2 linked regions of the Arabidopsis thaliana genome follow. The protein of the gene in region 1 interacts with the protein of each later gene in a pairwise test. Each region holds a gene or a part of one and is shown in the gene's direction. Other genes may lie near its edges. The genes, in order: AT4G13620 and AGL101.

The links.
Region 2: the proteins of AT4G13620 (region 1) and AGL101 interact in a two-hybrid assay, tested with the Arabidopsis thaliana proteins (one large-scale study listed by BioGRID).

What each region holds. Positions count from the first base shown.
Region 1 is NC_003075.7:7,928,181-7,936,678, forward strand, and holds AT4G13620 (Integrase-type DNA-binding superfamily protein), read left to right. Parts: upstream 1-3,950; 5' UTR 3,951-3,957; coding exon 3,958-5,124; 3' UTR 5,125-5,399; downstream 5,400-8,498. Other genes in the region: AT4G13630 (zein-binding protein (Protein of unknown function, DUF593)), read right to left, coding at 5,913-5,954, 6,106-7,223, 7,300-7,849.
Region 2 is NC_003076.8:9,518,079-9,525,839, forward strand, and holds AGL101 (AGAMOUS-like 101), read left to right. Parts: upstream 1-2,197; coding exon 2,198-2,560; downstream 2,561-7,761. Other genes in the region: RLP53 (receptor like protein 53), read right to left, coding at 4,456-7,332; AT5G27065 (uncharacterized protein), read left to right, coding at 6,251-6,526, 6,589-6,624.

The sequences.
Region 1 (8,498 bases):
TTGAAATCTTTGAATATAAAAAAATAGTAAGCAAGTTATTTTACTGTTATAAATAAGCATTCTCAAAGTGTTGGGTTTTGTTTAACTTTTTGAATATTAAAAGAACCGGAAATCAACGATCAACATGATCATCCAAAAATATGGAAACCATGAAGACCGAGAAAAATCTAGATAATTGTCATATCTTAGTTTAGGAATATTTACAATTATCTCTAAATATATTATTTATATTTATGTTTATCATAGTTTGGGAAACTTAAATCAGTCTCCTCTTTATATAAGAGAATGTTATACCTAAAATTTATCATTGAACCAAATGGTGTTAAACCTAAAATATTATAGGGTATACATTTACTAACATTGATTTTCATGAAATCGACTAGTGATCACTTTTCCAAGATTAATGGAAGATGAGATATTAAGGATAGATTGTATCCAAAAAAAAAAGACATATTATGGATAGTTTAATAGGTGTATATCAAGAGAGATGTTTGAACCTAAGATTCAAAACTTTCTTCTTACAAAATAAAACGATTACTAGATAGCTTTGGCTAATTCATTGGACAAGGAAGCATTTACTTATCTACTATCTTTACTATGCAACACTACAACTCATAAGTTTTTTGATATAATATCAACTTTAAAATAGTCGAAATGTCGAATGATTAGGATCGATAAAAAAAATCAAAAATGGAAAGGCACATGATGTATGGTTTTTAGTGTAATTTTTTTTTTTTTGGTGTAAAAGAATGCACATGATGTATGTTTGAGATTCTATACCTTAGTTATTCAACTTGCACTTAAAGCCTTTGTACTGCAAGCTAGCTAGATTCATATCGTTCAATGAGAACAAAAAGCTAGATATACGAAAACTCTTCTAGCAAGATTACTAGAGTAAGAAATATATTTCAAAGTACTTGCGTAAATAATTTAGATAGTGAATAAAAACATTTGTGACCAATAGAAAGAAAACAATAACGACAAAATTAAAAATTCAGCAATTGAAATAGAGGAATATGGCTCCTCCATCAACACAATTTCTTATTTTTCAGCTTTAATTATAGTATAAATCTAACAAATGTTTTAATATTTAATAGAAGCACAAATCGTATGTATATGAAATTTATTTCAGATTAATACAATGATATGTACTAGGCCGTCTGTTGCTATTCTCTATCAACATTTGTTTTTCTTTTGGTCTTTGACAAAAAAAAAAAAAAAAAATGCTCTATCCGTAGATTTTGAGTTTTAAGCTTAAACAATTGTTTATAGACACGCTTATCTCACTCGGAAGCTCAGCCATTAACTTTTTATTGAAACATATAACGGCAAAATAGTGGTATATATTTCGAAAAAAAATCATGAAATCTAATAGAACATGTAGCAGTAAACAAATTTTTTTAATTATTTATGTATAAAATAAAATAATTATTGGAATATAACATTAAAAGGGTAGAACCTGTATTTTCTTCAATAAAGCAAAATCATAGACAATTGCTAACATTTTTTATATGTCTATTCTATTTTATATTAACGTACGAAAGTAAAATGTGAAATGTTTTGAGATCGAGAATGCTATTTTTATGAAAACAAATAACGAAATTGGAAAAATGAATTAGTAAACCAGATAAAGTCATATGTTGTCACTTGTTTTTTTTTTTGTTTTTTTTTAATGTTGTCACTTGTCATCATTTTATATTATGTTTTTTATGTCCTATCTATAAATGATAGAAAATAGAGATATTATTTAATAAACAAAACCTCCTTAAATATTTGTTTTTGAGATGATGTATTTAGGAATGTCGTATAATAGCGCCAACTTGCTAATTTATATTGAGTATTAGTTTTTAAATTATGAGACAGTGACCAAAGCAATTTTTTTATGAAAAGTTCTAATATAATTGTAGCCTTTTTTCATTAGATGTCTGGTATACATGGTTAAAAATGTCTTCACGGTGACCATCAGTGATTAAAGCCCATACTAAGACATACATTTACTATTAAAATATGTTAGAGATCAAATTGGATCAAATTAATTTACATGAAACTGGAATAGGTTAAAAATAAAAATAAGAAAGAAATACTTTTTTCCTCTGATTTTTTTGGTCAACTGCTTTTTTTTTTCCTCTTAAGCCTTTTTATAAATTTTATTTTGTCGTTAACATTTTGTTTCCATAAATCAAATAATAATTCTTTTCGTAAAACGACCCAACAGTCATCTCAAAGGACAAAATGTGCATCATCTCAAATTAGAATACGAAGCTTCCAATTCGACCCTTATCTTACCTGTTTGATTCATTGTTAAACATGTTTAATGAACTATATTATATTAAAAAAAGAAACTTATATCTTGATTAGTTACTTAAATTTAGTCTCAAAATCTAAATTGACAATATAAAAAATTGGAGTAACTAAAGATGAAGCAAGAGATGAGTATATGCGTCGGAAAAAGTGTTCTTGCAAGGAATTGTATCCATTGTAACAGTGACTAACATGAACGAACAGAATAATTTATGGGTGAATCCGATTAATTTAAAAAGTTAAGAGACCACATCAGCAAGTTATTACAATATTGTAAAATAAAGAAGCAGACATAAACTGATGTTCTAGAGAGGAAAAGAAGACAACCCATGACTTCCGCATTAGTTGGATTCAATTAGAGGCCAAAACTTGAAGCTAATCATTGTATTTGGATGATAATATTAATAATTATGGGCTCACTAATTATAAGCATTTGTGGTGATTATCTGTGCTAAACTATACGTGGTTTACAAATTAAATTTTATTCTCCAATTAGATAAATGTTATCATGAAATATCGTTTCAATAATGTTTTCTTGGTATCACATCGCTCCAATAATTAGTCCCGTACAACTGTAATTAAGAAGTTTAATAATTACTATTCAGTATGTATTCAGACGTACATATATATATATATAGATATATTTTTTGTAATTTGCATTTCACAGCGGATCACTAAATATACATTAAACATTTGTGTATTCATCTATATATATTACTATAATATAATAGTGAAAATTTATGTTTTTTGAGATGGAATCTAGCAAAGAAAAGTCCTATACTGTATGGTCCAAAGTCATATTCCTAGGTTTCGCCTTAAAAACTCTAAAGATAACTAAACAGACGAGAATAATAAATTAAACACAGTTAGAATCGTTTGTTTATTGAAAAAAAAAAGCTTAAAGAATGCTTAAAGATTAAGGTTCTTACAAGAAATATATATATCTTAGTAAGGGAAACCAAATTTACATATAAAAAAAATATAAAAAAAATTGGTACTTCTTTTTCTTGCTATGACTTTGAATATACTACAGATTTAATGTTCTAAGTTTAATTAACAAGATATTGAACATTAAACCACATCCTTTTTATTTTTCGTGTACTGTATATACATATATATTGAATATATATCTCTTATTAACAAGATATAACAATAATGTAATATTAGTACAACCATCAAATTGAAAAGCAAATTTCGTATTTATACAATATGAAAAAACTAGAAGAACTTTTAAATATTTAAAGTGACCAAATGAAAACAACGTTGGTATCCAACAACAACATCATTCGTAAAATTTAAATATAAAACCCTATACCAAAAAAAAAACAATATATGGCTATATATAACACCTAAATGAGTTAGGGCTAAGCTGTCACGTTTGGATTGATAAGTTATAAGAAAAAGCGAACGTAAAATGGAGGCCACGAACAAGTCGCAAGATAAGAAAAAATAAAGGTCAAATTATTGTTTATGAAAGAAAAAAATACAAAATATTAACAATAATATTGTTTAACCAAAAGTGTTTGTGAGACTCTTTAATTCTCTAGTTTACATATGAACAAATTAAGCTTGGCAGAGCGTAGATCTGAGTCAGATGATAATGTTTTTTTCGGACAATAAAGTTAGGTTCCTTAAATTTTCTAATATTATCTCCACATGATCACACCAATACACACACAACACTCCTTAATTCTCGTATATATAAACATTTATTCTCCACCTATTTTGTCAAAATTAAGAACAGGCTTCATTCTCTGGACAAACACTCAAAAAACAAACAAAAAAAGGAACATGGAAGATCAGTTTCCTAAAATAGAAACTAGCTTCATGCACGACAAGCTCTTGTCTTCTGGAATCTACGGGTTCTTGAGTTCTTCGACGCCGCCACAACTTCTCGGTGTTCCAATATTTTTGGAAGGTATGAAATCTCCTCTTCTTCCTGCTTCTTCGACTCCGAGCTACTTTGTGTCGCCTCATGATCATGAGCTCACATCTTCTATTCATCCATCTCCGGTAGCTTCTGTTCCTTGGAACTTTCTAGAATCTTTTCCTCAGTCTCAACATCCTGATCATCATCCTTCTAAACCTCCAAACCTTACTTTGTTCCTTAAAGAACCAAAGCTACTAGAACTTTCTCAATCCGAAAGCAACATGAGCCCTTACCATAAATACATCCCAAACTCCTTTTATCAATCAGACCAAAACAGAAACGAATGGGTAGAGATCAATAAAACTCTAACCAACTATCCCTCGAAAGGTTTTGGAAACTATTGGCTAAGTACCACCAAGACTCAACCCATGAAGTCAAAAACAAGAAAGGTTGTTCAGACGACGACCCCAACAAAACTGTATAGAGGAGTGAGACAAAGACACTGGGGCAAATGGGTCGCAGAGATTAGGCTTCCAAGGAACAGAACCCGTGTTTGGCTCGGCACTTTTGAAACCGCTGAGCAAGCAGCAATGGCTTACGATACAGCAGCTTATATCCTTCGTGGCGAATTCGCACACCTCAACTTTCCTGATCTTAAACACCAGCTCAAGTCCGGTTCTTTGCGATGCATGATCGCCTCACTTTTGGAGTCCAAGATTCAACAGATCTCATCTTCCCAAGTAAGTAACTCTCCTTCTCCTCCTCCTCCAAAAGTGGGAACACCGGAGCAAAAGAATCATCACATGAAGATGGAGTCAGGAGAAGACGTGATGATGAAGAAACAGAAAAGCCATAAGGAAGTGATGGAAGGAGATGGTGTACAATTGAGTAGGATGCCTTCTTTGGATATGGATCTCATTTGGGATGCTCTCTCATTTCCTCATTCTTCTTGACTTCAAATTAATATTTGTCAAACTTATTTTACTTACTTCTACCCTTTTTTATATCAAAAGTTTCCACCAAAGAAAGAAATTCATATTATGATGCCAAGATTGGTTTGCATTTGGGGTTGAACACATTGTAATTCTTCTTACGACCACATAATCAAGTGGTTCTCCTTTTTTTGTCTGCTAATTAATTGTTCTTTTCTTTGCGGTTACTAGTAACCATAAAATAGAAAAGTGTTTGTTTTCTAATGAGAAAATATTATAATTCTGTTGCACCAACTCCAACTTTAAAAGTCCAATGTTAGAATATTTCCTACATTCTATACTAAAGCTCAAAGGTCAATAGAGAATATGAATAGTAATAGGGCAGAGAAGCGTTAAAGGGCAAATATGAATTTAGATTATCTTTTCTTTTGTCAACAACTACAATATGAGTTTCTACAACCAAATAAAAAGTTGATTATATAACTTTAGAAATAATTATGTCATTTTTAGCTTCAATTGTATTTCCGAATATGCAAACAAAAGTGAAAAATCTAAAGTTTTGGCACAGAAATAGAAAGAGGACAAGTATCACTTATTTGGAAAGAGAAGAAACTTAAACTTTTTACCGACCACAAAAGCGTCAATTTTTGTTTCGAAACGACGCCGTTTAGAGTACAAAGTACAATACTCTCCCGGCAATAACCAACATTAGAGTTTTGGCAGAGATTGTTACAAAACTACACTTGCTCATGTTTTCACTAGGCGTATAATCGTGTCGTGTTATTTCGAGTAAGTACATACCTTGCAGTTCAAGCACTATGCAGGTCCAGTGGCATAGACATAGCCTTTACCTGCAAAAACACCATTTGAAACCATACAAGATTCAGCCACTTGGTAAGCAAAAAACCATGGAAGATTTAACTACCAAGAACTGTGAAACAAAGAGAGCACTCTTAGCAATTTTTCAACCCTCATATCAAAGCACACAACGATGAAACTCACCATTGTGGATGAAGGGCTAGAAGAGTCAAGATGTCCAGATCTTCTAGCCTCCCAAAACCGGCTTGTTTTATCTCCACAACGCTGTACCTGCGATTTGCTCTGATCTTTGGAAGAAAAACTGATCTTCTCTCTTCCCTTTTGTACAGCTCTTAACCGACCTCTCAGCAACCCAACTTCACTCTCTATTTTCAGTCTTTCATAGTCAATAGCTGACATTGAATTTCTTCGCATATTGGTAGACATGTTACTTTTCCCTTGTGGAAATGCATAACTTGTATCTGAAACACTTTGTGATCTGTCCAGTTTCAGATCCTGAGTGGCATGGTCAGAAGGAACATTCAGTTGCCCCTTGTTATCTTCATCAGTCACTACATGGATGTCATGTACATGACAATCAATGTCGTGAGGGTCCTCACAAAGCTTCTTAGAAACAGCAATGTCGCTAGTTCTTGATACTAGTTCTGCATATAAAGTTTCACCTTCCTCTCTTTCTTTCAGTTCTATATCACTCAGGGCATCAAATGGCTCACTTCTTGACTGATCACACTCAGTATTGTCCATCTGATTAGTGAAGATCTCAAATCCAGAAGAGACATTCACAGTCTCCATGTCATCCCATGGTTCAGTAATCTGTTGCGGCGTCTGCAATCTTTCGATTTGAGCTGGTTTAGAATCTGGAGTATTGTGAGGTTGCTCAGTCTCAAGAAACATTTGCCTGTAGGTATCAACTTCCTTCTCCAGAAAATGTTTCTCCCTCTCCCTCCTAAGCAAAATTTCTTTAAGAATACTCATCTCTTCCGCATCAAAAGCAGACTTTTCTTCTATCATCCGCTGATATTGCCTAGCTTCCATCTCTATCGACGCCTTTTCTTCTTGCAACCGTAATATCATACCTAAAGCCTCATCTGCAGCAGATGCAGCAGCATTTCTCTCTTTCTCAAGTTCAAGAGCTAACGAAGCACGTGCAGCTCGTTCTTCCCCAAGCACTTGTTCTGACATCTCAACCGTCCTCTGTACCATACCAGGGGAACTGCATGCACCCTCTCCCACTCCACACCCAACAGAACTTAGTGAAACACTTTTCCGCAACGACACATCCTCCAATGCTTTTCCACTATCTACAATGTTACAACTTGCATCAAAATCAACATTCACTATCCAATATAATTGAATAAAGACAACAAAAAAACTTACCATTGGAGTTCACAAGAAGAGGATCATTTTCATCATATGATCCCTCAAAGCTCTTAAGGCCTAAACAACTTTGGTAATGGTTCTTGAAACCATACGGCGACCTATGGAAGCTAAGCCGCTTACTCTTAACTTTAAAGCTTCCTTTTTTCAAACTTTGCGCAGTTAAAAGATCGAACCCTGAAGCCTTATTCTCAAACTTTCCAACAGAAGGAGTAGTACTAGATACCTCATCTTCCAACTGAACACGTCTACGCTCACATTTTCTCTTCTTTCCACCATTATACAGAATTGAATCAAAAGGTGTTCTATTTTTAACAGATCTTTGAACAGAAGAGATCTTTTTAACCGGAAGATTCCTTAAACTCTCTTGAAAACACTCACTGTATAGACCATCACAAGGACATGGTAGGTCTAAACCAAATAAACCGAGGAACTTCGATGTTACATAAACGATAAACGATGCGCAAAGTAGCGAAAACGCAACGGAAAGATCGATAAACGCAGCCACTAAACCTTTAAATGTCCATGATTTTACCTCCTGGCAACGCATTTTATACCTGCAAGTATACAATAATCTACAGAAATTACTCAAAGTTTGAGAAATTGGTTAGAGAATCAAATTGTTATTTGAATCAATTACAAGCATATATCCAAATCTAAGACTAATTTGGTAAGTTAATCAATCAATCAATCAAATTATATATAAACACAATCGTTACCACAGAGAAAACTCAACGATGAATCAATCGTTAACACAGAGAAACTCCTTGCGATTTGATTAATTTTTAGTAAATTAGAGAATTGAAACTCACACGAAGAAGAAGAAGTTGAGAAATCTTGGGGAAGCAAGCACAACGTAAACGGCTCTTCCTCTGCCGTTTTTATTTTCTCTCTTTGTTCAAAAATCAAAACTTCTTTTTTAGTTTTCAAAACTTCAGTTGCAAATCACCGTACGAGTGAGCAGATACGCCGTCATTTTATCGCCGACCCCATCACTCTCTTCCTCTTGAGATTTTTTTTTTTTTCTTTGACATTTTATTTTACACACGTAATCAAATTTGTGCATTTACGCAAATGTGTGCCAACTAATTTGTAGACAAGATCCAATCTATAGCATGGAGATAAGTTATGAGTATTTAATGAGTATTTTTTATGTTATACAATTACATAAATTCTATATTTAGGTTTGTCCAAAAAAG
Region 2 (7,761 bases), on another chromosome or scaffold:
TCTCAAATTGAGTCAACACTTGTAGACTTTTCCACTCTCTTAGATGTGCTCCCATGCTATTCTAAACCAAAATCACTCTAACTACTTTAAGTGATTGTTTTGTATATTTATCTTGGTTTTGAACCAACCACAATGTCTCTTCTCCTTTTTCCATTGGAAATTCTGTCTAAATTCTACGATGACAAACTATTACATTCTAGCTTCTTGATTCCAAACCTATAAGCCTAAACCAACCAGCATCATTTTCTCTTGTTCAGCCTAAAAAGAAAGTTTAGACACATTACCTTACTTGATGGAGGAGGTTGATTTTCAGTCCTTGATCCCTCAAATTTCTTCAGAAAGTTTCCTCCGACATGCTTAGTCTTCTTCGTTGTCTCCGAGAACTTTGAAAAAAGGTGGATCCGGTGGAAGTAGTAGTGGATCCGACGGAGGAAAGGGAGAGCGTGGCGTCGACAGCTATGAAGAAGATTAAGAAGGATGGAGATGAAGAAGTTAACCACGTCGTCGTTGAGAAATAAAAGCAAAACTAAAACTATTTATAGATTATAAGATGAAATTAAGGGTGAAATAGAGGTTGCAAGGCAACCCTAAATACCCTTATTGATGTCATTTTTTCGGGAGGATCTTTTCTCTCCCTCTTCTCTCTCTAATACCTTTCAGAGAGAAAATAGGTTCTCGACCTGATTTTGGGGGCTAGAGTTTTTATGGAGACTTATGTCACAATGTCGTTGGGCTCTGCGTCTGGCATCACTTGCGTATAAGCGGTGGAAGCTGTTTTTTCCGACATCGGTGGCTCTGTTTACCACTGTTGGCTGACACTTCCAGTACTGATTGGCTTCTTCTGCAACGGTGGCTGGTTATGTCTCCATCGATTCAGCCTCTGGCGATTCAGATGGCTAGTACTGGCTTTTGTCCGGATTTGTTTTTAGTCTTTCATTCTCTCGTTTCTCTTTAGCTTCAGTTATTTTGTGTTTGGACCGATGCTTTGGATTTGATTGAAGTTTTGTTCGTAGGTTTGAATGAAAGCAAGCCCCAAATAGCAAAATTTCCTTAACGATTGAAAACTTTTTGATTAAAGAAGAAGATGAAGAAGATTTACAGATTTGTATCAAGTGGAGTCATATTTGCAACAAAAGTCAATTGGAATTTCGCCTTGGTTTGTTTGGGCGAAGAAGATGAATAAGCTTTCCGGCGATTTCTGCTTAGAATGAAGCTTCCGACATCACAACAACTTTTCGATAATCGGAGACTCCCTCCTCCTCTTCAACTTCCCACATGTCTTCCAACTTGTTTCTCATTTGACACGTGTTTTATATGTTGTATACAAGTTTTTCCTTCAGTTTAGGGTTCTCTTATTTGAGCTTTTGGACTTATGATTTTTTTTACTTTAGTGTTTGTAAAATATTGGCATGTTACATTTGGCTTTGTATTATAATTAAAACACACTTGTAAAAAAAAAAAAAAAACTAATTGATGTTCATTACACTCATATATATATATAATGAATATACTTGCTAGAAACCTAAATACATGGGCTTTAGATGGGCTAGTAGATAGGAAATACATGGGCTTGTCAAGTTAAGGTAGAAGTCATCCACAATGCCACTTGCATTCAAGATTCTCTCACAAGTCTGAGGAAATGTTTTTACGAGGCTTTACGGGTTAACGCTGCTGGTGAAGAAAAGCAGAGTGATTACTAGGAAACAGAGCTTGAGGTTTGTTTCTGAAAGCGAGAATCCGGGTGCGATTCAAATTTATAGCCCTTAGCCAATTGCTTCATGTAGGCTTTTCTTGACAGCGAAGTTACCTCATCGACTTTAGCTTTTCTTCCTTCGGTTAGATCGTAGTGAGCATAGTCGAAATCCATGGCGGAACCTGTCCAAATTTTCCTTGGAAGCTCTCCGAGGAAGAAAGTGTTCTTGAAGTGGACACCAAGCTTTCATACATGTATCCATTATTATTACTAAACACGAAGAAAACAAAACGGATCTAACTGAATATACTCTGAAGATTATTAGAAGAAATTAGACAGAAACTAATCAAATGAAGCCTGCAGAGAAGAGAAGAGAAGAAAGCGTTAAAAGACTAATCAAATAAATTCAAGCAGAGAGTGAGAGAGCGGAGAGTATTGTTTCGTCGCTTGTGATTTGAGAGGAGGAGGAGTGATGGAGAAGGTTTACCAATGAGAGAACAGACCATGTTCAAGAAAGCCTTGGAGCTTTCAACTCTGTGCAACATCGAAGTCTGTGTCATATATTATGGTCGTGACGGAGAACTCTTCAAGACATGGCCGGAGGATGAATCCAAGGTTCGAGACATGGCAGAGAGGTTTACCAAACTAAACGAGAGAGAGCGACGGAAGAAAAGAACCAATCTTTCTCTGTTTCTACGTAAGAAGATCCTCGACGACAATAAGCTCTCAGGGAAAGTCTTAGAGATGAAGGATTCGTTAGAAAGGGGTCTACGGGTGCTACAAGATAAGCTTCTGTTACTACAACCCGAGAATCAGACCAAGTCCCTGACTCGTTCTGTTTCTAGTTTAGATTATGTGTTCGTTTAATTGTCTGATTAAGAGTTTCTGTTGAATTGTATGTTTTCCTAACTATGAATGCTATTTTCTCAATTCTATTTTTGTCTATGAGTCTTAAATTTGAGTTTGAATATACATTAGACATTGAATGTTAGATGTCCATAATTGATGCAGGTAAGACAACTAATTGAGTAATTGAGCAAGATATTCTGTGAAATTTTCGGTTCAATTTGTGAATGAACTCAATGGAGGAAAGCTTATAGAAGAGGATATGATAATCATATTACCTGACACTTTGATATGTCAGACGCTCTTGTAGCAGCTTCCGTCAAAAGTTGTTGTTAATACTTAATACTAATGTTTTGTCCAAGATGTGGAAAAAAAACTGACTTTGTTCAGTTGTTGGATTTAGATGCCAGTGAGTTCCCAGATTACAATGCCTTAGTGAGTTTTCTTGATAGGTCTTTAGTGTATCCGGAGGACTGAGAGTGAACAGTCTTGTGTCACGCGGTGGATAGATTCTGTGGTTAATCGTAAACTTAAGGATCTTGATGTTAATTAGTGTCATGTGGAGCGTTATTGTTTTAAAGGTGATCCCCTTATAAGTCTTTATATATGTTAGACATTGTTGTACTTAAGACTGCAACAGGTTTTAATGTGTGATATCTAGTCAGTTTCTGAAATTTTTGTCAAGTTCATGCTTATAGAACAAATTGTATATGCCAATTATGAAGCTATACAGTAGCTTAATTATTCCAGAAGGCTAGTGATAATGTTAAGGTTTTAAGTGTACACTTCTCACTCATTATTCATTATTGTTGAATTTAAGGCACAGGGTTTTTGATTGATGCCCATATGCTCACGTATCTGAATTTCGAAGATGATATTATAGAGAGTAAAATCATAAGCATACAAGTTCTTTAGCCAAGTTTAATGTAGTTGCCTTAATCTGGTATTGTTTTGCTCTTGTTGGCTTACTGATGCAAACTTTGATCCGTAAATCTTCACCGGATTCTCGAGAGTTAATTAGCCCTTGGCATACTGCAGTCTGCAGAGGTCTATGTCTTAATTACCAAATTCATAGTTATATATAAAATGTTGTTTTCATTATATTTTAGATTCTTATTGAGAGTACCTCTACCAAAACATGAAAACAGAACTACTAGCGGAATTTTGCAACTTTACATGTCTTCAAGTGACGTTTTGTCTATCCTACCTTGAAATGCTACACAGACTTCTTGAGAGCTTTCAGAATCTAAAATAACTCGTCATAGTGGTGGTGACTTGCACAAACCCCTAGAGTTTAACATAAGAAACATGTTGTTTTTCTTTCTTCTATACTTTGTGTGTGTGTGTTTTCTATAACATGATTTTGTATATGACCACAGAAACTAGTATATATGGTTGTTTTTTTTGAACTCACTTCCATCGTTCTACTTCTTCGCCGTAAAAAGGTTTGGTTTTAACTATCACATGAAACTTACATTGCCATTAAACTAAAAGCTTTATATCACTCCAAATGTACTTATGGTTCACTTATTCACAAGCAAAATGAAAGGTATTAACTAGACATTTGAGAGTTCTTAGACAAAACAAATTAAACCATAAATGCAGATCTTTGTATATGAGCTTCATTTCTCTCATACCTCCTTCTCTGTTGTTATCTTTGGACACCCTAGGATTGTGCCTATAAGAAAGCACCAAATTCCAAACATAAGAGTTGTTTACATTTTTAAAAATTTCAGCGGTTTAATCACCGAAACAGATTTTCGATTGCTTCTGGGTGCTGTGTGCGAAAACGAAAGATCAAAGAGATATTTCACAAATTTCGGTATCAATTACGGACCTATATTCAAAAGTTTGTTCACGTAATTTATTCTAATGTTTGCTAACTAATTCGTTTTAAGAGTCAGAACATTACCTCTCTAGTGAGTTGTTTTGTGTCTTTTCTGTCTACGATTGTTTCGGTCAAAAGGGTTCATGAACCACTCTGGTTTATAGGAAACGAGTATGTATCCAAACATCAAACCAAAGGCAATACCAGGTCCGAATCCTATTGCAGCTGCTATCCAACTAATCAGATCTTCGTCTTCTTCCTCTGTTTCCGGCGTTTCAAACTGTTGATGTGATGCTGGCGTGTGAATATCTCTGCAAACTTCTTCAAGAGAAGAGCCGAAAAGTCCCAAGTTATCTTCAAAGGCAGAGCAATTTTGCGTTAGAAATTGCTGGCCTCCTGGTACTAGGCCTGCAAGCTGGTTATGAGAGAAGTTCATATACGCAAGGAACGAAAGGTCCCCTAGCTCTTGTGGAATCTCTCCTGTAAGCTTGTTCTTAGAAACGTCCAATGACTCGAGAGCTGTCAGGTTCCCCATAGATGAAGGCATGTGGCCACTGAAAGCATTGTTTGACAAGCTGAGCACGAGAAGCTCTTTCAATAGACCAATGGACTTTGGAATCTCTCCTTCAAATCTGTTTCCGGAAAAGTCGACTGCTGTGTAGATTGTGAGGATACGTACCAGCTCCATCGCTACACCTTTATTCATCAAAACCATTGAATCTTGGTAGTAAAGGCCTGATCCCATGTACTTTTCGTTAGACTGGTCTTCGTTTTTTCCAAGTGATGACATAGCACTCCACTTCACAAAGTACTCTGTTGGCAAAGTTCCATTGAAGCGATTATGTGATATATCGATGATGCGCAACTCAGGGAATGTGGCTTCATGTATTGGTCCATGGAATGCATTGGAGCGTAATACAAGAACTTGTAGCTTCGGTAGAGAACTCAACCAGAAGGGAAACGTGTCGTTGATTCTGTTGCTTTCCACGTTCAAAACTTCAAGAGTAGAGAAAAAACTCAAAGATCTTGGTAGCTTTCCCACTAGCTGGTTATGGCCGACATCAAGAGACCTCAGTATTTCAAATATTTGCTTTGGAAGACCTCCGCTAAGATGATTCTGACGAAGGTTTAGAACTGAAAGAGTACTCTTGAGATGTCCCATGCAACGAGGGATTGAACCATTAAAGTTGTTGTCAGATAAATCGAGTGTGTTTAGAGAACGCAACCCGCATATGAAAGAAGGAATCTTGCCTATGAAGTTATTGTTGGAGCCAAGCAAGTACAGCAGAGATGGTTCAGGTTTCGATGGTCTTTGGAAACCGATTAAAGTGTTGTTGGAAAGATTCACGTAGTACAAGATTGGTAGCCTCCATAACCAGTCAGGAACTTGACCTTTGATTTTGTTGTTGGAAATGTCTAGAAACCCCAATTCGTGTTGGGTTCTTACGAACTCTGGAAATTCAGTGATACCGCACCCTGACAAGTACAAAGATTGTATCAATTGCGAAGGAGGATCTGAAACTGAACTTTTGTTTGTGGCCGAAACATGGTTGCCTGAGAGATCCAATAAAAGGAGCCTTTTGAAATATGATAAGAAATAGTTCAAGTCGATCCTAGTGGTGGTGTTCAAATGGGATATGTTTAGATCTAGGAGTGACTTGAGATGGGAGAAGATACTAAAGTCAACTGGGCCTTGGGTGTTTAAATGGGAAATGTCAAGTCGGAAAAGTTTGACTAATTTGGAAATGGAACTAGGGATTGGTCCTATGAAGTTGTTGTTGCCAATGTCTAACTCATATAGGTTAGATGGTGAAGATATATTTCCAAACTCAAGAGTGCCTTTGAGTTGGTTACCATTCAAACGAATGTAAGTCAAAGAAGGAATGGTGAAGAGAAAAGAAGGGAACGTTCCGGTGAAGGCGTTGTCACTTGCATCAAAATCCATCAAGTTGGATAGTGAAGTGATATTAGGAGGAAGCGTGCCTGTGAACTTATTGTTGGAGAGTGATAAAAGTGACAACCCTGTCAAGTTCAGTAGGACATTGGGAAAGTTTCCGCTGAGCTTATTGTCATCAACATATAAGCGGGTCAGCTGGTTTAGATTGCCAAAAGAAGATGGGATTTCACCAACGAAATTGTTACTAAAGAGGCCGAGAAAGGTAAGTTGAGAAAGGTTTCCAATAAAAGATGGAATCTGACCCGAAAAATTGTTATTAGAAAGGTCGAGAGTGGTGAGATTAGAAAGATTTCCAATTGAAGATGGAATCTGACCCGAAAATTTGTTACTGAAAAGGCTGAGAGTGGTGAGATGAGAAAGACCTCCGATAGAAGACGGAAACTGACCAAAAAACCGATTATAAGAAAGATCTAGAAAAGTGAGATGAGAAAGATTACAAATTGATGATGGAGCCTGACCCGAAAATTGATTATCAAAAAGGTTGAGATAGGTGAGACGAGAAAGGTTTCCGATTGAATTCAGAATCTGACCCGAAAAATGATTAGAAGAAAGGTCGAGATAGGTGAGATGAGAAAGATTTTCAATTGATGACGTGATTTGACCTTTAAAATCATTAAATGAAAGGTCTAGAGTGGTTAGGAAATGAAGGTTTCGAATACTGCTGTTGGAATGAAACCGGCCATGGAGAGAGCTGCAGCTTAGGTCTAGCTCGATCACTTCCCCGGACTTGGCATTGCACGTGACTCCCTCCCAATTACAACAGTCGCTGTTATTCCCCCATGAGTCCGTCTTCCGAGGAGATTCAATGCCATAAATCTTACAATGATCAGGAGAAGGCTTCCCAATCTCAAACTCGTTTTTGAACGCGAGGAGTGCATCCCTTTGTTCGGGACGACACAAGTTCCTAGTTGGAGCCGCAAGCACGTCCAGAAAATGACAAATGAATAAGAAAATAAAAGAGAGAGTAATACGAATGATACTCTTTGAGTTCCAAAAGCCTTCCATCATTCTTAAGCTAATTTAATTTTCTTGAATATTGATAGTGAAAAAGCAAAAAAATAAAATCTGGAAATTGTGATGGTACGTAACATGTTTTCATGCCCATCTCTTTATATACAAAAATAATAGACTCTATTCCACAAAGATAATTCCAACACAGCTTGACCCTCCGAGGCGTTTTTCACGTTAAACGCAACGACTTAAAAAGTCTTTACGTTGAATAATGTCCATTTCCACTCCTTTTGTCTTACTTTTTAGTTACGTACAGGGAACATGAAAAAAAAACGTTGTATTTTGTCCAGCCAAATTAAATTGATCGTGGAAAATGAATTCTGCAGGTAAGCAATGACTTGTTCATTGTTACTAGTGCTAGTGAATAGTGATGATCGACAGCGTCAAGAGTCAATCCCCATCGATGTATTAATTTTGCGCAAAAAA